Linked DNA regions of Rhinolophus ferrumequinum. The protein of the gene in region 3 binds, or shares a complex with, the protein of the main gene of each other region. Links are inferred from orthologs where the notes say so. Each region holds a gene or a part of one and is shown on either strand. Other genes may lie near its edges. The genes, in order: DCUN1D3, UBA3 and UBE2F.

Evidence for each region.
Region 1: the proteins of UBE2F (region 3) and DCUN1D3 are in contact, whole or in part, in a crystal structure (PDB 4GBA), measured with the Homo sapiens proteins. The link is inferred for Rhinolophus ferrumequinum from reciprocal best matches to the Homo sapiens genes UBE2F and DCUN1D3. Residues at the interface, in NP_001265234.1 of Homo sapiens: Leu2, Thr3, Leu4, Lys7, Leu8; in NP_775746.1 of Homo sapiens: Glu108, Glu109, Glu112, Pro122, Thr123, Glu124, Met139, Cys140, Glu194, Ile204, Ala207, Leu208.
Region 2: the proteins of UBE2F (region 3) and UBA3 are in contact, whole or in part, in a crystal structure (PDB 3FN1), measured with the Homo sapiens proteins. The link is inferred for Rhinolophus ferrumequinum from reciprocal best matches to the Homo sapiens genes UBE2F and UBA3. Residues at the interface, in NP_001265234.1 of Homo sapiens: Thr27, Arg28, Arg29, Val30, Asp34, Lys35, Val38, Lys39, Val41, Ala42, Glu45, Val54, His55, Phe56, Pro57, Asp58, Pro59, Asn60, Leu62; in NP_003959.3 of Homo sapiens: Ala401, Thr403, Thr405, Leu406, Glu407, Gly408, Asn410, Arg411, Thr412, Ser417, Val418, Thr419, Ser420, Ile421, Arg424, Thr425, Gln442, Glu443, Ala445, Ala447, Asp448, Val449, Thr451, Pro452, Gln453, Thr454, Leu456.

The regions. Positions count from the first base shown.
Region 1 is NW_022680357.1:16,190,622-16,197,739, reverse strand, and holds the start of DCUN1D3 (DCN1-like protein 3), read left to right. Parts: upstream 1-4,048; 5' UTR 4,049-5,347; intron 5,348-7,118. Other genes in the region: LYRM1 (LYR motif-containing protein 1), read right to left, coding at 2,369-2,527. UniProt on the Homo sapiens protein: Contributes to the neddylation of all cullins by transferring NEDD8 from N-terminally acetylated NEDD8-conjugating E2s enzyme to different cullin C-terminal domain-RBX complexes and may play a role in the cell cycle progression by regulating the SCF ubiquitin E3 ligase complex, after UV damage.
Region 2 is NC_046300.1:62,780,851-62,788,181, forward strand, and holds the start of UBA3 (NEDD8-activating enzyme E1 catalytic subunit), read right to left. Parts: upstream 3,002-7,331; 5' UTR 2,939-3,001; coding exon 2,919-2,938; intron 2,734-2,918; coding exon 2,692-2,733; intron 854-2,691; coding exon 733-853; intron 1-732. UniProt on the Homo sapiens protein: Catalytic subunit of the dimeric UBA3-NAE1 E1 enzyme. E1 activates NEDD8 by first adenylating its C-terminal glycine residue with ATP, thereafter linking this residue to the side chain of the catalytic cysteine, yielding a NEDD8-UBA3 thioester and free AMP.
Region 3 is NC_046291.1:2,437,762-2,445,465, forward strand, and holds the start of UBE2F (NEDD8-conjugating enzyme UBE2F), read right to left. Parts: upstream 3,092-7,704; 5' UTR 2,947-3,091; intron 1-2,946. UniProt on the Homo sapiens protein: Accepts the ubiquitin-like protein NEDD8 from the UBA3-NAE1 E1 complex and catalyzes its covalent attachment to other proteins. Together with the E3 ubiquitin ligase RNF7/RBX2, specifically neddylates cullin-5 (CUL5).

The DNA.
Region 1 (7,118 bases), on a different chromosome or scaffold from region 3:
TAAGCTATGCTTAAGGCGCTGAGGGCTCCTGGGGCTCCAGCTGTCCCCCTGAACAAGTGTGGGGTACAGTTCTCCCAAGTCCAGTCATTCAGAGGCTGCCTGCATGGTTTTGCCACATCTACATACCACCTATATTAACATTCAACGTTTTCTTTAAATGGACTCTCTTGTGAGCATAGTATTTGGGAAATTGCCGGATACTCTTTTCTTTCTAACACACGGTAAACAAAGCACAGAACTTCCAACTAAAGGTCATGTAGCCCCCACTATCTCACTCATGTACCATCAGCAGCACACACGCCTCCTCCTGGCTCGCAGCACACTGAGCCAAGGCGAGCAGAGGCCAAGGAAGGAATGATGAGCCATAAGAAAACCCCAGGGCGTCGTGAGCAGTCCTCGGGTGGGCACGTCCTCCTGTGACATCCCCAGCAGGACGCTGGCCATTGTGAGGCCACCGTCCCTGCCTTATTACCTGGCAGAACAACTGACACATGAAGCTACAGAAAGGGCCCAGTGGTATAAAATCCACAAGCGCAGGCACTGCTGCAGGCTGCTCCACAGGAGTTCAGGACAGGGCTCACGACGGGATCAGGTGAGGACAGAGCAGCGTGGGAGGCTTCCTGGAGAAGGTCAATTGAATCCAATGCTCGGTCATTTATGACAACCACAAGGCAGGACCCAAGGGATACGCTATCAAATAAGACATTGTCTGAGCCTGAGGAACTGACAGGCGGGTCGGGGAGACCACACGACATACATGAAACAGACAAGGAAAAAGTATGACCAGCTCCTCAGGGGTAGGTATAGGTCAGTGGTCTGCAAACTTTTTGATCACCTACTCCTTTCAATAAATATTTCTCAGGCCACAGATCCATATATGTATTTATATTGATTTGTACGTATACGTTCAGTAAGTGTACTAATGTCATTATAAATATAGACAAAACAGACATTTTTAAAGGATGCAATAGAAACAGAAACCGCACTTGCAGGACCTATTTCCAGTCCTCCGAGGGCTGTGTAAGGTCCCTGCACGCAGGTATGGCCTGTCTGGGGGAGAGTCAGAGCCGCTTCCCAAGCAGGGTGGCCCTCGTACAGCGGGGAGCCTTCAGGGATCCCAAGAAGGCAGAGGTGCTGGGGTTCGGGTTGCGAGGGTGGGGGTCTTTTGTAGCACTTATCCCAACTCTAATTTTACGTTTCTTTCCATCTAACTCTGAAATACCTTTGAGGGACCGTGCTGCTTTTGCTCATTTTATATTCCCAAGGTGTTGGGCGTACGGTGGGCGCTCAGATACCTGTGGAGTGAAACAATGAGAGCAGAGCATTGCAGAGCAGTGGCAGGCATGGTGACAGAAATAGGCAAGTTGGGAAGGGGACGCCTTCTTGTGGGAAGACGAGCTCTGTCTTGGGGTACGGGGTCCTCAGACGGCTGGTGAAAAGCCAAGGCTGGGTGTCCCGATTTGGGAGCTGGAGCCAGAAGGTGGCTGTCTGCCCCTGGGGCCTCGGCGCAGAGGGTTGACCCTCAGAGGACCCCACAGCTGGCAGGAGGGTGTGGAGAGAAGACAGGGCCAAAAAGGAGACAGAGACGGGTCAGAGAGGAAAAAGTAGAGAGAGTGGATTGTCAGGAAGTTTCACGAGGGGAACAGTGACAGCATTGAATCCATGAGATCAATGAGAAGGGGGCAAGGAAAGCCAGGGGCTGAAAGCCTCTTTCCGTGCGAGTTGCCAGGCAGGCTTCCAAAGAGCTGACAGCTAATGCTTGATGGTTTACCGGGATGAGTCACACCGAGCCTCTCAGAAATGGTGTTTGGCTCCCTGGTGTCTGGGTGTGCAGTTCCATTAAACCAGTTCATGGGAGCACTAGTTTACCCAATTCTCTGGTCCCAAAGGGCAGACGCACTGTGCTAGCCAAAGAGGCTGCAGTTCACAGCTAAGTATGAGGCAGGCCTGTGTCTTCATCCTAATCTCTTCCCTCTGAATGGGTTTGGACTTGGAGGCTTTGAATAGTTTATAAATTGAAAACCAAAATTGACCTGCGCACCTCCTGTGGCAGTGTCCGGCGACAGCACATCATGTGACGAACTGCGCCTCCCCTGGCAACTCTCACTGGCCTCACTCCTGTCACCTGGCTCGTGGGGTCTCCTGGGGACACAGCCACTTGCTGGCTGGACCAAGACCTGAAATGAGTGAAGAGAGAGCCCTGGGCCGGGCTCTGCTTCCCATCAGCTGGGCCTCCGGCTCCTTCCCTTCCTGCCCAGACTCTGCCACTGTGACTCACGCTGCTCCGTCCTCTCCATTTGGGACAGACAAGAAATGAACAAATGCAAGACACTGCTCTCCTCTCGCTCTCCAGCTGAGGCCTACTTACATTTTTGTTTTTCTGGAACAGTGTTCTGGCTTCATTTAATATGTACTCTTTTTCTTTAATGGTGTCTTCCATCTGTCCTGACGACGCCTGCCATTTCCTCGCAAGCCTGAAAATTCGGCGGTAGAGGCCAAGAACTTCCTGTCGCGTTGCTGTTGTCATCTTCAGACCCACCAAAATAGAAGAGGGAAAATGTGCATAAAAATTCACCGTGACAATAGGCAGCTAGCCAGATGCACCTTTTTTTTTTTTTTTTTTTTTTAAATCAAGCTCTTTAATTAGAAGGCACAGATAACTGCCTTCTCAGCAAATCCGTTTGGCAGCATTGCCGCATGGCCGTGTACGAATACCAGCTATCCCTTGGCGGCCTCGTGTATCACCTCACGGTTGAGCTGCTCCACTGTACTGTTTGCCATGATGGCCACTTTTACAAACATGGCAAAACAAAACCAAAGCACACATGTACTGTTCTTTGAACCGGTAAATTCTTAGGAAGGATGCTTTTCGTGTGTATTCTGGTAAAATTATATCCCTAACCTGAGTGTCTAGGAAAAGGCATGTGTTGAATAACTGAATTTTCTAGTTAAGTGAGAACTTGAAATTAATGCAGGTTGCAAACTCACGTTCCTCCAGGGTCTGGCAGGTAACAAAATGAGGGAATTTGACTGGGTGGGGACACTGGCCAACTGGAGAGGACATGCCCCCTTAAAAGGGGACAGTCGCTACTCAGCCCCCGCCAGCCGCTGCCATGTAGAAGTGAGGGCCTAAGGGTGCCAGATTTCATGATAGCTTCACAATAGGTGGCAGTCCAGATTTTTAAAATATAAAATCTCAAAAAAGACACAAATTCATTTTTGAAAATGTGAGTACGATGAAGCCCAAAGAAAATGTGTCTGCAGGCTAAGGTCCTCCCAGAGGGCGTCAGGTTGCAGCCTCTTAGTTCAGCATAGCCTCGTTGAAAATATTTTGCAAAACTGTCAGTTCACTGCCTTGTGCACATGAGAACTGTGTAGTAAGTATAACTGGAAGTCTTTGTGATGGCTGAAGATCTGTGGCCCCTCTGGGTTTGCACGCTGAAACATCAGCTTTCATTTCAGAGGACTTGGCCAAGTTCCTGACCGAAGTATGTTCCATAAAGCTAACTGTATTTTTATAAATTAAATTCCTGTTATTTTTATTTTCATTATGAAATACCTCAGATACACAAAAAGATATAGAGAATAATTAACAGCCATACATTCACAATGGACCTTAGGGAATAAATTATATATACAGTTGAAACCCCCACTGTACCTTTTCCAAATCGAATTCCTCTTCCTCTCTCCTAGAAGGAACTGCTATCCTGAATATATCTTTCTCACACGTCTTTACATTTCACATTATATAGTATTGCTTAGCAACTTTAAAAGAACTTTATAAAAGGTATTGCCTTTCTGCAACTTCTTTTTGCCCATATTTGTACTGTTTCCCCAAAAATAAGACCTAGCTGGACTATCAGCTCTAAGGCGTCTTTTGAAACAAAAATTAATATAAGACCGGGTCTTATTTTAATATAAGACCAGGTATAATATAATATAATATAATATAATATAATATAATATAAATACCGGGTCCTCCCGGACCAGGGCAGATTATATTAATTTTTGCTCCAAAAGATGCATTAGAGCTGATGGTCTGGCTAGGTCTTATTTTCGGGGAAACACGGTAAGGTTCATCCATGTGGTTACACACAGCTCCAGTTCATGGGTTCTCACTACTGCAATTCAGCCCACACTGTCTGAAGGTATCTCATGTATTCTTCTGCTGATGGACATTAGGGGTTTCCCTTTTCTTTTACTTACGCAACAACGTTAGCCTGTTTCTTTACTACTTACTTCTACAAGAAATCCCGGAAAGTGAAAAAGCCCCACTACGGGAGGATTCTGATTGGTCAGATTTAGGAGAACGAATCCTGTACTGCCTTTAACAGATGGGCAGGCCGGGAGGACCCGGGCACATGCAGTGAGTGAGCAGCAGGGCCGGGCCAGGCATGGGGACCCTCCCCGGGAATCCTGGGTTTTCCTCAAACAGGCTCCTCAGGATCTGGAGGTAGGTGCTCACTGCCCTTTGGGAGCGCGACCCATTTCCAACCCGAGCGGGAGGGCCAACACATGGAGACTGTACGCTTCAGGAGATTTTGTCCTGAGTTCCTGAGAATTCGAGCAGCTAAAGAATACAGATGGGAGCTGTAAGGAGGTGTGTTTATCTGTTAGGTTGGTGCAAAAGTAATTGCGGTTTAAAAGATTAAAAATAATTGCACGAACCGCAATTACTTTTGCACTGACCTAATAGAAATTCTAAGTTGCTGCAAGGAAACTGCCTGACAGAGAATTCCTCTTTCGAATATGACTGTCCCTCCTACTTCTCCTGACCCTGGTGACTTTTCTTGAGCAATAAGGAATGAACCAAGGCTTAACCATTTGATGATAAGCTTGAAAGCACTAGTTCCCCCAGTTCAAAAGTCGACAGGACTAAGCTTAACCTCCAACACCAATTCTGATGGCCAGGATGCTTCAGAGAAAATGCTTAAAAGGAATTCATAAAAACCAAGACAACCGCATGTTTTGTGGTTCATCGTTAATAAAAACCCACATGAGATGATGACATTTTCCTGGTAAGGAAACAGGTTTCTGAGTTTCTGGCTCTCTCTAGAATTCCATGGTTTCATCTGAAAATACGTGAGTCAGTTCCTGTGAGGGGCAGGGAGTCTGTAACTAACTTGTATTAACGATTGCCTCACTTCTCTGTCATTAACAGACGAAACTGCCCGGACTGCATGGCACTGGTGAGGAGTGAAGGAGGTCTGGCCTGTGAAAACAGCAGCAACCTTCTGCAAAGTCGGACTTTAATTGGTTTCCTTCTACTCTTAGAACCTCCGCTTCAGATTGTAGCTGATCATATACCATAATCGGATACACAAGCCCTGTAATTAGGGCACTCAAGGTAACAAGCAGAACTAACAATTGGTACTTAATAGGCCTATTTTCAAAACACTTTAATTAACGTTTACATGTTTGGAGAAGTAATCCTGAAAGGGAGATAAGTGATGTCTCCCTCTCCAACATCAGGTGACCCAGAAAACCTAAATCCTGAAGATTTCCAGGGGGAGGGGGTCTGAAGCTCTGTTCCCATGATGTACTACTAACAGGCCTAGCCAACCACACTTCTTCCCAACTCTGCGCAAAGCCAGGAAAAAGATGCTTTTGTTCTTTTCTTATTGGAATCCTTCAGGTCTCAGAGAGAAGGAATCATGTTCTCTTACCGTAGGGGTACATCCCATCTGTTCCCTCTTTCTAGAAGGCTCTCTTGGCTCCCTTGCAGCCTTCAGTTACCAATGAAAACATGGAGGTCTCAGAAAAGCCTTTCCCGCTCCCTGCTGCCCTCACCACGTGCATCAAGTCAGGTCTCTCAGTTGAGCCCTTCCGCGGCCCTTGTATTTCTTGTAGCACTTGACCACGCAAGTAATGGGTTGTTAGTGTCCGTCTTCCCCGAGCCTCGCACCTTGTGGACAGGAACCACACGCACCTTATTTACTGCTGACTTCTTGGCACTGGTGCTCAACGAGTGCCGCTGTTGCCCTCCTTCCATCATTCATTGCACACCAGCAGCCCCTTCAAAGGAGGCTGTGCATTTGGGGGGCTGCTCTGCCCTTCCCTCCCCACAGCAACCTGTCCCCAACACTCCAAAGGGAGCTGACATCACAGAAGGGACAGCAGGCCTCATTACAGGGCTGCCAGCCTGCAGGCCAGACTCCAGCTGGGACCAAAAAGGGGTCCCGTGGCCAGTAACCTCCCAGGGAGACCCGAGCATCAACTCCCAGCCGGGCAGGTCAGGGTGGGGAGTCACCCCCCAGGCCTGTAACTTCTTTAGTGAGAGGCTTATCTTTGCCGTAAGCAGCCCTGTCCATTGTTTCTGTGCATCTCGTTTTGTGCAACACACCTTTGACATAAGTGGGACCACCCTCAAGAGAGCACCTGATCTTGTTAACTACCCTGTAGTCCAGTCCCCGCCTTGCTTTCTCCCAGTCCCCGCCTTGCTTTCTCCCAGTCCCCGCCTTGCTTTCTCCCAGTCCCTGCCTTGCTTTCTCCCAGTCCCCGCCTTGCTTTCTCCCAATCCCTGCCTCGGTTTCTCCCACCTCCGTCATCTTCCTTTGTTCCCTCCTTAATTCCAAATGCATGAAAGAAAACTGCAAAACTGTCCCTCTCCATTTATCTTGCTCCCCAGAAATTACCCTCAATGTCTTACATAAAATTTCTACAGGTTTGGACGTTTCTTACATGGACACTTCCCTCCCAAACACCTATCCATCCATCCATCCATTCATGCAGTCAGCATTTATTTAGTCAGTTCACCCCAGAGGCTGGGCACAGGCAGTTCTGGGGAAAGTGATAACCAAGCAGCCATGGTCCCTGCCTCCTAAAGTTTATATGCTCGTGGCAGAGGCAGACGACACACAAGAAGAACAATTTCTGGTAGATATATGTGCTCTCGGAATGAACCAGTCAGTATATATGAGCAGAGGGAGCGGTTATTTGATTGTGGGTAGTCAGTGACATTCGAGCCAGTGCTGAATGCTAGAAAGGAGAGTTAAGAGGTCGGTGAGGTGGTATCGGAAGAGGGGTCAGCAGGAACAAAGGCTGTGAGGTGGGAGCCAACCTCCTTGTAGTGAGAGCTTATGAGGAGGTTAGGCCCCAGGTGGGCAGAACTGAGCACA
Region 2 (7,331 bases), on a different chromosome or scaffold from region 3:
AATCAAAGGACAAGAAAATACGAGATCCGAAAAAAGACAGAATACTGTTAATTCTGTCCAAGATTAAAGAAAAATTATTCAGATGAGAGTGTGTCAAACCCAAGAGTTGGCACCTTAATTTAAGGAGCAAGCATAATATATCGATTTCAAAACAGTATCTCTTTATAAACACAAAAGGATATAAAACTTTACTGTAAAGAATACTCTTTTCTACCTTGTAATAAAAAACAAGTTTTATCTAATTGAACATTTGCTTTGAGTCAGACACTATCAGTCCAAAATTCTATTCATTATACAGCAGTCACATAATTTGTAACATGCAATTAGTTATATTCAATCCTAAGTAAAGATGCTCATTTCAACTATATTTCAAAATTTAAACAAGTGCATCTATATTCCTATGAAAATTAATTTCTCATAGCAAGGCTAAAAACGGGTGTGTCTCAGAAGTCATTTAAACGAATTTAAAATGAACTATAATATAGAATTCTAAACGAGATTATAAAGTTATTTTACTTGAAGAATTTCAACATATTACATGAGAAATGTGAAAGTGACTCAAATATTAATCATTCAGATAAAATCAGTTGCAAATATTGCATTTAGTATTTCAAGATAACTTATATAACTGTATGAGTATTTTGTTATAAGAGCAAATGAAAAAGAAAGCATTTTGCTATTTTTGAAACACAAAACTATTAGAGGAGTTATTTAAAAATAAACGTTTCTCACTTCAGTGCTCGGTTCGAAATCAGGGTGTGTGAAGGGTCCAGATCGCTCGAGGAACTTCTTTACATGGTTCCAGCGACCTTCCCAGTCTCCAGTGTCCCCACACCCACCATCAACAGCCATTCTGCACAGAACACAGTAAATTCAGCTGCAAAGGTCAGTATGAAAAAGCCACACTTAAACAACTATTATGGTTTCCCCAAATGAAAAGGTAATCACACCAGACCTGCTCAAATAAAAAGGGAAATATTTAATGTGATTGTGCTTATGCTTTTAATTTTTTTCTTTACTTTATAGTTTATTTAAAGTTAACTGCATGTGTTTGATGAAATAAATCAGTCTATATGTTTCTGGGTTCCTAAAGCAAGCCAAATCAAACTTGGGATATTGTCTAATCAAGAAGAAATGGGTTTTTCTACATTTGGAACTTACAAAAGGTCACTGCAAACTTCCCCAATCTGTTTCTTCAACACACTTAGATCAGGAAATATCAGTTACAAAAAAAATAAATAAATACATAACTCCACTTTCAGAATTGTGATGTTTCAAATCTAGGATTCATATCCAAGTTTGAAAGGTGTGATTTAAAAATAACTTTGATGAGAATTTTTATACATTTTCTTCTCTGAAACAGAGGTCCCTATTTTCAAAATTTCATAAAAAGAATCTCTTAATACTATGAGATGGTTTTTGTTGCCCCTGAACACAGCAAGTTTTAGGCTAGATTATACCACAGATAGGCATTATCATCTAGAAACCTTTTAGAACATACAGCTGAATATGATGGGACTCTTCTAACAAAATACATGTATTTCCTACTCAGTGCAAAATTCATGTTTGGTTGTAATTATTTTTAATTTTCAAATTTCATGTAATCCCATAATTTCGACCTTCAAATACATTATTAATATCTAATTTTAACAAAAGGTACCAAGAAGTATTGTCTAGCAACAATGACCATAAGTTTTGATGTCATGGCTGGGTTTGGTTCCACAATAGCATTGCGACCTTGAGCAGATTACTTAACAGCCATAAACCTCATCTGTAGATTTTCTAGTTACTTAAGGTCAGAAGGGTAAAGAGATAACCTATACAGAGGCCTCAGTATAATACTTGGCATACAATAAGCATTCGAACTTTGTTATTTTAAGCAAAAGTGGAAAGGAAATGAAGGGTGGGAAGGAATGTGAAATTAAGCTTGTCACTCCAGTCCCCTAGCAATTGAAATTGAACTTTCTGAGAGAGATACCTGTACACACTCTGGTGCACTGCTAATGGGATTTGGCACAGAAATTACTAACTCACCACACCCACTGCAAGAGTACTTTCTTCCCCTCCCATGTTGGCAGGAGCAAAAATGTGGGTTGGCCACGTTGGAAAACACTGTTAAATGTATCTCACCGCACAAAACTAAGCATCTGATAAAAAATAGAGTGTGTAATAAATGGGCAAAATAAGCTCTGTGGAGTCAACGCTCTCCTTCAGGAGTCAATTATTCTGCAAAAATGATTGACGTGCTTAGTACTGTACCATGCAGAGTTCTCAAAGAAAGTCTGCAATTAATACTATTGTCTCAGTGTTTACGAAAGGCCAAAAACGGCCTAAGGTCCGTTTCGTGTGTTTAAGGTTCCCCTTTCACAAGGTCACATCTCTGACAATTTGGGATGGAGGAAGACGGGAGCGCTAGGGTCCTTCCGCTAGACCTTTAGGTCAAGCAGCCGGCGGGCCCGTGCTGGACCTGCGGCGGTGCACTCGGGGCCTGGCGCCCTCCGGAGAGAAACCAGGACTGGCCGGCCTGGCCCCTGGGACTCCAGGACTCGGGTCAGGGGATGAGGCCGCGCGGCCTGCGCACTGGGTGCCCCCCTCCCAGCCCCCCGGGCCCGCTGCGGCTGGTCCCCTAGGCCTGGGGTGGGGGGAGGCGGGGGTCCCCGGAGAGGGCCCCGGCCTCCCGGCAGCACTAACTTCTCAGCCAGCAGCTCCTCTATTCTCCTTCTTTTCTTCTCCCTAAAAGAAAGAGAGAATAAAAGAAGGGTCAGCATCACGCTACACATGGGCGCCGCGAGAGGATGGGGGGCGAGGGGACGGGGCGGGGGGATGGGGGGACCCCGGGTGGAGGCGGCGACCGCCCACCGCCACGCTCTCTCACAACCCAGCCCGGCCCGCCGCGCCTGCAGAGCCCGGATACTTACGGCTCCTCGCCATCCGCCATATTGTTCCCCGCCTCTTCCCAGGTGCCCCCACGGCGGGCAGGACCAGGCTTAGGGGCGGGGCCGGCGGGCCTGACAGGGCGGGGCGGGGCGGGGCCGGCGGGGCGGGGCGGAGTCTGCAGAGCCGGGCTGCCTTTGCTGATGCTTCCGCGTGCTTTAAAGCTTTTCGCTGTAATTATAATCTTAATTAACTACGCTCAATTAGAGAAATCTTATCCAGTGTATATTTTTAGGCTGCGTGAAAATCTATATGTAATACATTATGTTTATTCAATTTATATGTTAATAATTATGTAAAATGGTATGTTCTATGAAAAAACTCCTGGAAGAGCCACCCTAATATGCCAGAGCTTCCATCTGAGGCAAAGCATCAGGGGAATTTTCACTTTCTACTTCTGAGAACGGTTCCAACATGTTTGCATAACGGCACTCATTTTAAGAGTAAAATTTTTCTAGATCAGTTTATAGGGGTGGGATAAAGATATTTTCTTTCTTTGTTAATACGAATATTAACGTTAAGTGTCACATCATTCTGTCAGGTAAGAAACTCAGTGGAAATGAAACTAAATTGAAAGAACTTTTTTTCTGAGAAAAAGTTTTATATTTAGGTAGCTAGAAGAAAAATATAAGGAAAAGAAAAGCACAAAAGTTAAAGAATAATTTAGACCATGATCTCATTGCCTAAAGATAAATGGCAATAAAATTTTAGAGTAGGTATTTTCCTCCAGAATCAAAAATTGATAGATGTGTGTATGTGTGTTTGTGTATGACCGGATACAGAAAAATAATCAGATGTAGATATACATACATATGTATATCCTTCTTTGGAGTGGGACAAGAATGAGATGTAGAATCCAGAAAGAATTTAAATTTTTAACTCCACTTTTTACCTATGAGACCTTGAGCACTACTGTCTTCATTTGTAAACTGATAGTATTCACCTTCATTTGGGAATTTGTTACAAACACAAATTAGGCCTCACCACCGACCTTCTGCAAAGCCCTGTTTCTGTACAAAATAAAGTTTGAGAACTAATGAAATGCAGTACTATATAAATCCTGATGGGTACGCAGTAAATAGCTGTCGTTAATAAATTATGATATTTAATCTCCTCTTTGTCCTTTATTAGCCTCCAATGGGGTTCAATTCAATAGCATTCGTTGAGCCAAAAGTCAGTGCCAAGGAGTGAGGAGGTAGAGTCCACAGCCCATAGCAGGAGACACCAGCCTCTATCCAGGTCACATGTCTCAATATCAACCCAGAAACCTCTTTTTCTCGCCCAGACTCCTCTGCAGATGGAAACCATTGAGGTTAAACCCTTGCCCCCAGCAATGCTATAATACTTTCAGGAGACCTTTTGGTTAGGGGCAGGGAGCATCATAGTTTCCTCAGATGGTAAAAGTTAATAGGCACCTTAGAGATCACCTTGTCTAACCCCCACACCCACACCCCATTTCACAGGGGAGGAAGCTGACGCCCATGGACAGGATGTCGCTTGCCCATGAAGAGGTCTGCAAAGGCTTCTGGTCCTGCATCTTTGTGCCTTGGAATTAATACACTGACTCACTGCAGTGGTATTTTGATACATGATACCAGGCACACCCTCTGGCTCAGACTGACTGATTAGAAATAGCCACCTGCACTTGCCAGTAATGAAAGTAACAGAGACATGCAAGAGAAGCCTGCATCAGATTTATTTCATTTCAAATGGAATACAACATAAACTATTAGTCTATCTACTCTGGTTTACATACAGACAGATAAATATTCAGAGTGGTCCTATCCAGAAGCACACGTCTAGGTATAAGAGCACCAGGAAAGCCTCTACAGTGAATCTGACCCCCTAAATGAATAGTGACAAAGAGCTGCTATCAATAGCATTTCAAACAGTGCTTGAATCAAGTAAGGATCCCATATGCGTTCATTTTTGTTTAAAATGATTTTATGTCTGAAGGGAAGCAGAGTTTCCCAAAATATGCCTCTTTGGGATAGTGATTATTTTAAACTGGTTGTTTGTAAGAAGTGGAAGATAGGAAAACCCTTTGACCTTCCTCAAAAGAATATAGATATATATTCTATAGATATAGATATATAGAATATAGAGGATCTGCTCCAAGAAGGGAGCTATCATCATAGATAACTATAGTCTATTTTTCACTTTTTTATTTTTAGTTTATTTATTTATTTGTTTATTTTAATTGGGGAACAGTAGTGTGTCTTTCCCAGGACTCATCAGCTCCATCCAAGTCAAGTTGTTGTCCTTTCAATCTTAGTTGTGGAGGGCGCAGCTCAGCTCCAGGTAGTCACCGTTGTTAGTTGCAGGGAGCCCAGCCCACCATCCCTTGGTAGGAACCAGCAACCTTGTGGTTAAGAGCATGCGCTCCAACCAACTGAGCCATCTGGCCACCTGGGAGCCCAGCGGCAGCTCGTTGACTTCATTCTAGTTGTGGAGGGAGCAGCTTGCTGGCCCATGTGGGAATCGAACCGGCAGCCCTGTTGCCCAGAGCTCACTCTGTAACCAACTGAGCCACCCATCCGCCCCAGATAACTATAGTTGAATATGAACTAGTGTGTGATAGACAAAAGAAGAACCTAGCAAGACCCATTTGATCAGTCTTCTCTGTGTACCTTTGTTAACGGTGGCCCAGCAAACATTTGTTTACTAAACATTTGTGTTTCCATCTCCATGTGAATTGCCTTCTTCCCTGTTGAAGTCCCAAACCACTAACCCCCGCTTCTCCTTAACTCAATATAGCATATATGCCTCCATAAGAATATGGGCCGGAACCCCTGTATGTACATAGGTAATTAAATTTGGTTGTTTTCTCCTGGTTATCTGTCTCATGTCAATTTGATTATTAGACCAGCCAGAAGCTCTAAAAGAATGAGAAGGAGGAGGAATTTTCTCCTCCCCCACATGACAAAGGTAGAAATGTACAGTGAAAAAAAGTCCCATAATCCAACCAGAGAGGGAAGCATAGTTAATATTTTGAGAATTAGGGAAAAGAGGATCATGCTCTATACTAGTATATCTGTTTTTGTTTTTCTTCATTTCTTTCTTTATTTTTAAACTTCTATAGAGGTTTAAACAAAAATTAAAAATACACTGAACAAATGTTTATTGGATGTCCATTGCCTGTGATCAATGAGTAATCATATTATTAGTAACACACGCTTGACAGCTTATGGTCATGCAGTACTGAGTAATTGGAAGGTAAAAGTTCATGATCACAGTTCCTAATGTTCACTGATCTCACCAACAAGAAGGGGCCCTGCTTGGGCTTCTACACTGGTCTTGACCGAGATCATTTACTCAGCGTGCCCACAGTGCGGCTTCATGAAACTTGTAAAGCTCAGGGAATTCTCCCACACCCTCTGACTTCCTGTAACTGAGCACCAAGGCCTGGCACCTCTCTAGATAGCATTCCTCTCACTGTTTTGTATTTAAGTTAGTGTTTCCACTTCACTGCAAGATCCTTGAAGTCAGGGCAAAGCTAAATTATTCTCAACTTTTTTTTTTATCTCTCACAATGTTTTCACAGAGCCTTGAAAGGACTCAAAATACCTGTTGCCATAATACTGAAAATTTTCAACCTTTCTGTCCTTATCAAGTCTACTCAGATATACCCACAACAATAAAAATTGCAACAAGATAGAGAAAAGTCAGTAGATGTTCATTATGAAAGTATGGAAAACAAATCAGGTTAAAGCACTATTAATACTATGTTATCAGATGAATAATGGGCTGTACTAGTATTAATGACATTAACAGTAATATCTAACTGTGAGCAATTACTGTATACTAAGCATTCCCCATCCACTCTTCAACTATATGGCTGATGATCTTATTATATCCACTTTACACAGGAAGAAACTGAGGCTGGAGTAGATTAACTAATTTCATCAAAGTTTCATCAAATTATTTCTTAATTTCATCAAGAAATAGAGTAGCTAGGACTCTAATTTTGCTCTCCCTGACAGTAAATCTTCTCATTTTTCCAGAATCAAGAAAATGTGAGAGCTCAGGAATATTTTCACATTTTAAACTTTATTCACACCAATGACAGGAGTATTTTCTTAGAGTCACTTTCAGTTCTTTAACTGCTTTCTGAATCATCAGAGAAAATTAAATCATGTCTTCTAGACTTCACATTAGATATATTTTATTGCTTTTTTTTTCTCTTTTATTGAAAATTGGTGATCCGAGCAGAGTGAATTCAGTTTCTTAAAAACAGCACCACTTGCAGGTTTTAAAGACTGTTATCTTAGATACCAGCATCTTAGAATTTACCTACCATACTATGCAATTAACTAAAATATTTTTTCTCATGCATTTGAGATAAAAGGAGGTTTCTGCATCAACCAGCCCCTTAATATGAAAAAATAAGTCCCTTT
Region 3 (7,704 bases):
GACTGAGGCCACTCAGCTGCCAGAGGCAGTCACCACAGAAGCACTAGTTTCCCTCGTGGAGATGCCGTGAGTGTGGTGCCAGTTTCAGGGGTATGTACGTCTGTCAAGACGCCTAAATCATACACTTAAAACGGTGTACTTCAATTATACCTCAAGAAAGTTGACAGAATGTGAAAACCCAACCCACAATGGTTTTTTCATTCCCCCTCTACTACGCCATCTTCTCAGGTGGACCTACACGAAGCAGGGACCACAACCAACCAACACCCACCTTCTCAGCTTTACCCAGGGCTGGGAGCTCCGGTGGTTTATGAAGTAACTCACAAAGGGGCGGGGCCGGGCCTGGCATGAGGAACACCCGTGGGGGCTCCACCCGGAGCTGCCGGAGACACAGCTCCCTGGCCCAGCCCACCCCAATGATGCTGTCAGGAACTGGATCACAAAGCAGTGTCTGCGCCCAGCCAAGTCCATTGTCACCAACCCAGACTTGAACACCTCATCAGGGTCACCGGATGACCGCCCAGATACACGTCCATTCCTTGGGGGTTGGCTGGAAGCACAGATGCACCACACAAAGTCCACTTGGTTTTTATCCTCTAGCTGACTTTGGCAATGAAATGTGGCAAAAAATAAAAGCACGGCATGTGTAAAGAGAGTTCAGCAGACAGTACCCTAGGAAGGTCACAATGAAGAGACCCATGGAAAACTGAGGGCCCGGGCACATGCCTGGTCCACACCCAGCTCCGAAGACCTGCACAGAAGGGGCCGCTCAGAAGGTCCTGGCAAGACTCACACTCATGAAGAAAGGCTCACACACACACACACTTCTGTGTCACTGAAGTCGGAGGACTCCTCTTTGTTCTTTTATAGTCCCCACTAGCCCACAGTGAATGAATTCTTCTGTGGGCAGAGTGTGTCCCATACTCAGTTCCACCAGTCAGGGTCCTGGCTTACGCTCTCCAACAAGGCTGTGGCCCTTGATACAACATGCTGGCCACTGATGTGCAAGGTATGAAAGAAAATAGCACAGGTGTTTTGTTTTCCATAGAAGGTAATACAAAACGTACTCTCCCAGCATTCTGAGAAGTATAGGTATATCATGACCATCTATTTCTCCATCATCTGTATCAGTATCATATCCTTTATCCCACTTCAGGGATAACAGGCCTAATTTGGGGATGTGTCCAGAGCTGTTAAATTAACTCTATATAAAGAGATTTGAATAAAAATAATTACTCAAACTGCCAAGAGGTTTGCTGAACAGATGCAGCTGCTTCAGAATTCCTCCCTCAGTATGCTTCACCCCTTGAAGACTTGCCCCTTTATTGCAAAGACACTCTGACTAAGGCAGTATTTTCGGTAACAGATCAGTTATGTGGAACAGCATGCCGAGTCTCTCAAGTCCACAGGTCCTAATTGGCCCATTTAAGTCCCTCCTCTACGTGGGGCAGTTCAAAGACGATTCTTAGGTACTATTTAGTAGTTTCATCATCAAGTAATATTTACTCAGCACTCCTGCCCGCAGTGGCAAAATCAGGCCATGTCACCTGTACAGGGACACGGGAGCCAGTCAGCTCACGGGGTGGGGATGCCCGGGAAATCCCTGTTTACAATTCTTCCTGCTGTGAAAAAGTCCCAAACTAAGTGTAAAAGATGGAACTGCAGGTCACTAGTGGACAAGCCAGTTCTCCTGCCAGAGGCCCAGATCCGAACATAAAAAAAGTCCACACCTCACCCTCCTCCCGCAGAAAAGCCAGGCCAGGGCCCAGAACCTCCCATCTGGCCCAGGAGTCACCCGGTTGGCTGACCGACCTTTGGAGCCCAACCCTTTTATTTTCAGCCCTAAACCTGCCCCCTCCTGCACAGCCCACTACCTGAATGGCAGGTATGTCTAAGTGGGGGTCAAGCCCCACACCACGTAGCCTGGTGGTAATTTGTGAATACGCCTCCTGTTTGTACCCTCCCCCATCTTCATCCCCTCACCCAGCCAGAAATCCTCTGCACAAGGCAGGCAGCCTCTTCCCTGTTACTCAACAACACTGCTCATTTCTGGAAGCTTCCGTTCAACGTGATACCCAGGTCCGGAACGCCCTCCTTCCCTTCACCACCTAGTCCTACTCCTTCCACAGAGAGAACAGATTCCTATCTAGATTCTACTCCTCCAAGAAGCCTTCTCCAATCCATCCAGACCCACTCCGGAGCGCGAGGGACGCAGAGAGGGGAGGGCCCAATCCCCTTCGGTAACAGACGAGGAAACTGAGCCCTACTGAAGGGAGGGCCACGCCCAAGCTCACACGGCGGCGGAACCAGGTCCAGAATCCCACTTCCCGCTGTACTGATCCTTCCAAGATGTCCTCCCCTCTGCTCTGCCCCGGGTACTGGCTTCCAAACCAGCCGCGGCCGCCCCCAATTGCGAGGCCGCTGCAGGCAAGCTGGCAAGGAAGGAGCCTCGCTCCTCCCGACCCTCGCCACTCCCTGGCCTCGCCCGACTTCCACCGCAGTCAGCAGTCGGACTGCCGGCGTCCGAGTCCCGCTTCCTCCGGCCACGCCGGGCTGGTGACCTTGGGCCAGCGCTCGGCCCTCCGTCTCCTTCTGGACAATGCGGCCGGCGGCATCTCCGCGACGGCGGGCGCGAGCGAGGCCGTGTGTGCGCCCCTCACAAGTCGGTGCTCGGTGCGGGCGGCCCCTCGAGCCCAGCCAGCGCCCCGGCCCCGGCCCCGGCCCCGGCCCCGGCCCCGGCCCTTTCCATTCACGCCGCCCGGCCCCGCACCCCGCGGTCCGCGTCCTGCGCGCCCGCCCGGCGCCCGGCCGTGAGGAGCGGCGCGGCCTGAAGCAGCCCCGGCGCCGCCCGCCCTTCGGCCCACCCGGTGCACCCGCGCCGCGGGAGCCGAGCCGCCTGGAGGCCTGCGCCTCCCCTCGCCAGCCGCGGGGCCGCGCGCTCCTCACCTGGGCACCCCGAGACAGGCGAGGCGGGCCCGGCGCCCAACACCATGCCCGGCCGGCCGGCGGCGGCGAGACGCGGGCCCACACAGCCGCACCGGCTCCGGGCGGCGGGACCGGAAGTGGAGGGGCGGGGACTCGGCCGCGGCCGCGAAGGCAGCGGGCACTTTAAAAAAAAAATTCAAAACCCTGAAGAACTTTATTTGGAGCATGATGTGCGAACAGCGGTGTGCGCTGAGTGGGGCTGGGCCTCGCTCATTGGCAGAAGTCTCGGTCGGGGGCGGGGGCGAGTCTCGCGGCCCCGGCTGATTGGCCAGCGGCTGCCAGGGGCGGGGCCGCCCAGGGCGTTCCCGAGCCTGCGCATTCCCAGCGCCTCCCTGCTCTACGCCGCGTTCCTGCCTCCATTCATTTGGTTGTGGGCTGGATCCCGGCCTGCGGCGCAGAGGAGCCCGGCGCAGGGCCGGAACTGACCGCCTGGGTGGATGTCCCCGCTGTGTGCCCAGCACAGCGCCCAGGACGCAGAGGACCCGGCCGACCCCACAACCTGCAGTGTCGGGGGTAAGGGGGGCGGGACAGTCAGAAGTGCAAACAGCCAACAACACTCGGTGTGAAGCTGAGGCTGCAAAGGAGTGGGTGGGCCCTTTTCTGTTCTTGTCTTAATGGTTTATATTACGTCTTTCATCTTACAGTTTTGTAAACTACTTTAAAAATTTGTTGCAAATTGTTCTGTTTATGGCTTGTTGAGTACAAATTCTTCTCACGTCCATTTGTGCCCCTGTGTGATGGGTAATAGGCACGGTCGCGGGTGTCAGGCAAGGATCCTGGAGGAGTGGGCCATCTGGACCCGGAAGAAAGAGCCGAGGAGTTAGAATTTTATTTCCAGAAGCCCCATGGAAAGGTTTTAAACAGTAGAGTGACAATGTCAAGTTTTCTTTCTAAAAGAGGCTTCTGGCTCTGAGTGAGCTGATGGGAGGGGAGCCAGGCAGCGTGGAGACCAGAGTCAGGAAGACCAATGAATAACATATGTCATGGTATTCCTTCTGTTAGGGAACAGTTTCCTTCTTCACCCAGCTAACTCCTGTCTCCCTAAGCGTGGAGATGTGGTACAGTCAGCTACCTGTGCCTCACTGCCTTTTCCTGCAGCTGCACATCTGTGATTCTACCCCCTTCAGATCAGGCAGCCAGAGTTTACAAAGCCCTGGATGAATATCACACAGAAGAGAAGCAGCCATAGTAAGTCAATGCCCCATATATACAGGAAGCATTCCCTGGGCATGGTTGTTGACAGCTGCAGGGGCAGCCTGGGATGTGGGCATTCAGGAGGCCTCACTCAAGGGCGACGTGAGTGCTGTCAGCCCAGGGCTCCTCGTGGCACAGTCACAAGGATTCAGGGTGCTACACTCACTCTTGTGCTGAGGCACTGCTGCCTGTGTTTTATATTTTGTGTGTATGACCGATAGTTTTGATTGCTCTAGGTATCTGACATTGTCCACTTTGGTGAGTGCTGTGGGCAAAATGCCACAAAACACTGTTTTCCTTTTTTTTTTTTTTGAAGGAAAATTCTTTTTTTTTTTTTTTAAGATTTTATTGGGGAAGGAGAACAGGACTTTATTGGGGAACCGTGTGTACTTCCAGGACTTTTTTCCAAGTCAAGTTGTTGTCCTTTCAATCTTAGTTGTGGAGGGTGCCATTCAGGTTCAAGTTGTTGTCCTTTCAGTCTTAGGTGTGGAGGGCGCAGCTCAGCTCCAGGTCCAGTTGCCGTTAGCTAGTTGCAGGGTGCGCAGCCCACCATCCCTTGTGGGAGTCGAACCGGCAACCTTGTGGTTGAGAGCCCACTGGCCCATGTGGGAATCGAACCAGCAGCCTTCGGAGTTAGGAGCACGGAGCTCCAACCGCCTAAGCCATCTGGCCAGGTCCCTGTTTTCCACTTTTAAAAAGCCAGGGTTGAAAATGTCTATACATTAGTGTGTATGTGAACATTGGGTGAACAAGACGGGAACGGGAACAGAAGTGGCAAACAGCTCATGTTCTGAGCAGCTGGAACAGTCCAGGATGGAGGTTGTGCTCTGCATCTGGGACTGCAACCTCAGGACCACACTGGGCTCACCCAAAGCAGTCACTTGGCATGTCAAGGCAGTGCCGGGTAGAACCTCTCCCCCTACAGCCACAGCTCTCCCTGGAGACTGGGGTGAAGAACCATCGTTCCGGTGACTCCTTGCCAAACCCTCATGATTAAAGTCCTATGCCGGGACTCTGGGGACAGCAGTGCTATTTGTGAAGAGGCGCCACCATGCAGAGACGACCTGGACCACTGCTTGCTCTGCTGACATTAGGTGACCCCACACAACCCCGTGGGAGGGAAGTAAAAGTCCTAAAGGCCTTTGGGTCTTTGACCCCGTAATTTCATTCACGGGTTGGCTTGAGGAAGTAATCTAAAAGTGGAAGAGGCCGAGGCACAAAAATACCCATCGTGTTACAGAACTTGGAAGCAATCTTGTGCTCAGTATTCGGGGAATGGTGAACTAAATTACCACCGCTCATTTACTTACAGGAAGATTACCCAGCCAATAAGCTTGGTCATTATGCAGATTATGTAAAACCACAAACATACTATTTAGGTTAAGTGAAACAAGCAACATTCGGATCGTGTAAATTCAATGACTACAATTCTGAAGAAGACCAATATATGGGCAGAGACGAGGAAAATGAACAAAAATTAATAATTTTTGTGTCTGGTAGGATTAAGAGTGAATTTTCCTCTTTTAAAAAAAACTTTCATTTATTTTCTTTATATTATCTTCATAACAATACAATACAAGGGTCTTTTTTAAACATGATTGATCCTTAACTTGGAACACAGGTCTGTGTCAAATAAGTGATTTTAATGCTGTTATTCGCTAGAGAAATAAATATAGAGAAGCTTAAGGCTTCCCTGGACAGATCATTTAAAAAACTGGTAATCCAAATCATGCTTAGAAAGCCTTTCTAAATTCCAAGAAAACAAAGTTGTTTTGAAATAAATGGTGACTATTATATTTTAGGTCACATCCACATGGCAGTAGAGCTGCCCTCCCCCCCCATTCAGATTCATTTGCTGAAGTTCTGAACCTACGTTTTCTATAGGAAAATACAATCTGCCTCATGGCAGTCCCCGGACACATACCTCAGGGAAAAGCAAACACTACCCACATCTGAGGCCTGGAGAATGGCTGTTGGGAGCACTGGCACCGGTTATGATGGAGAGGCCATGTGTGGTAAGGCAAAGATTCAAAAATACCTACACTCACCATTATTACTCAATATTCTGGAAGTTCTGGCTAACACAGTAAGGCACACACCGGAAATAGAAGATGATTATTAGAAAGGACAAGGCAATATGACTATTACATAATGAAACTATGTGACCCACTCCCTAGAATATCCAAGAGGCAACTAAAAACTGTAAAAGGGAATCAGAAAGATGAACAAAGTGACTCAACTAAAAAAAAAAATCAATAGGTATATTTTCCATACCAACAGCAACAGATTAGAAGTGATCAGAAAACCCATTTTACAATAGGGGGTGGGAAAGAATGATAAGTGAAATAGTTAAATAATCTTACTGGCAAATAGGTGTAATCTGGACTGTGAGAATTAATAAAGGAAACCAACTAAAATTGGAGTTGGAGACGCCTGTAGAGGCAGCTGTCACACCTTACCACCTCATCCATTACCCCAAACATGAAAAGACCAGACCTTGGCATCTCCAACAGGAAGGTGTATTATCCACTTTACTACCCCTGGAGGAAGAAGGAAGATTTTCTTCTGGACCAGCAAGAAGCCCAGCCAATGGAAAAACCACAGCTCAGCCAATGAGAACCCTTCATCACCTGAACTCTTTCCTCCAATGAACTTTGATGTTTCTTTTGCTAATGACGTCCTTGCCCCAGGCTCCTTTATATAGAAGTTTTCCATTTCGTATAATTCCTTGGAGTATCTCTCTGTTTGCTAGATGAGATGCTGCCCGATTTATAAGTCACTTAATAAAGCCTATTAGACCTTTAAATTTACTGAGTTGAATTTTGTGTTTTTTAGCAGGATAAAGAAAATTACAAACTTTATGTCTGTCAAAATGTACATGGCAGGGTGGCCGGATGACTCAGTTAGTTAGAGTGCAAGCTCTTAACAACAAGGTTGCCAGTTCGATTCCCACATGGGCCAGTGTCGTGCGAGGGACCCTGCTCGCTGCGCCATTTGTCGTGCAGGAGACCCTGCTCGCTGTGCCATTTGTCCTGCGGGGTCTCAGCTCCCGCTCCCCACATAAGAATGCAGGGTATGGCTAGGCCAAAAAGGAACACCCACGGAGCCATAGATAGGGGAGTCATACCACTATAGTCTCAATGGAGCAGGATCCACACAACACGCAACCTGCTGTCCGCTTCTCTGCCTGCCAACCAACCGACCAAGAAACACAGCCACGGCAGTTATATCAGTGGCTAATTGGTTAACTGGTTACAGCTGATGGCCAACTACTACCCGAGCCAGCACCTTTCCTCGTAAGGCCAAGAGCCTGGAAACTGCTCTCTGGGACTCTGTCCCCACAGCCATTGAGCTGCTCCCTCCACAACTAGATTGAAGACAATGAGCTGCCACTGAGCTGCGGAGGGGGCGGCTGGATGACTCAGGTGGTTATCGAGCTCTTAACTACAAGGTTGCTGGTTCAATTCCCGCATGGGATGGAGGGCTGCGCCCCCTGCAACCAAAGACTGAAAACGGCGACTGGAC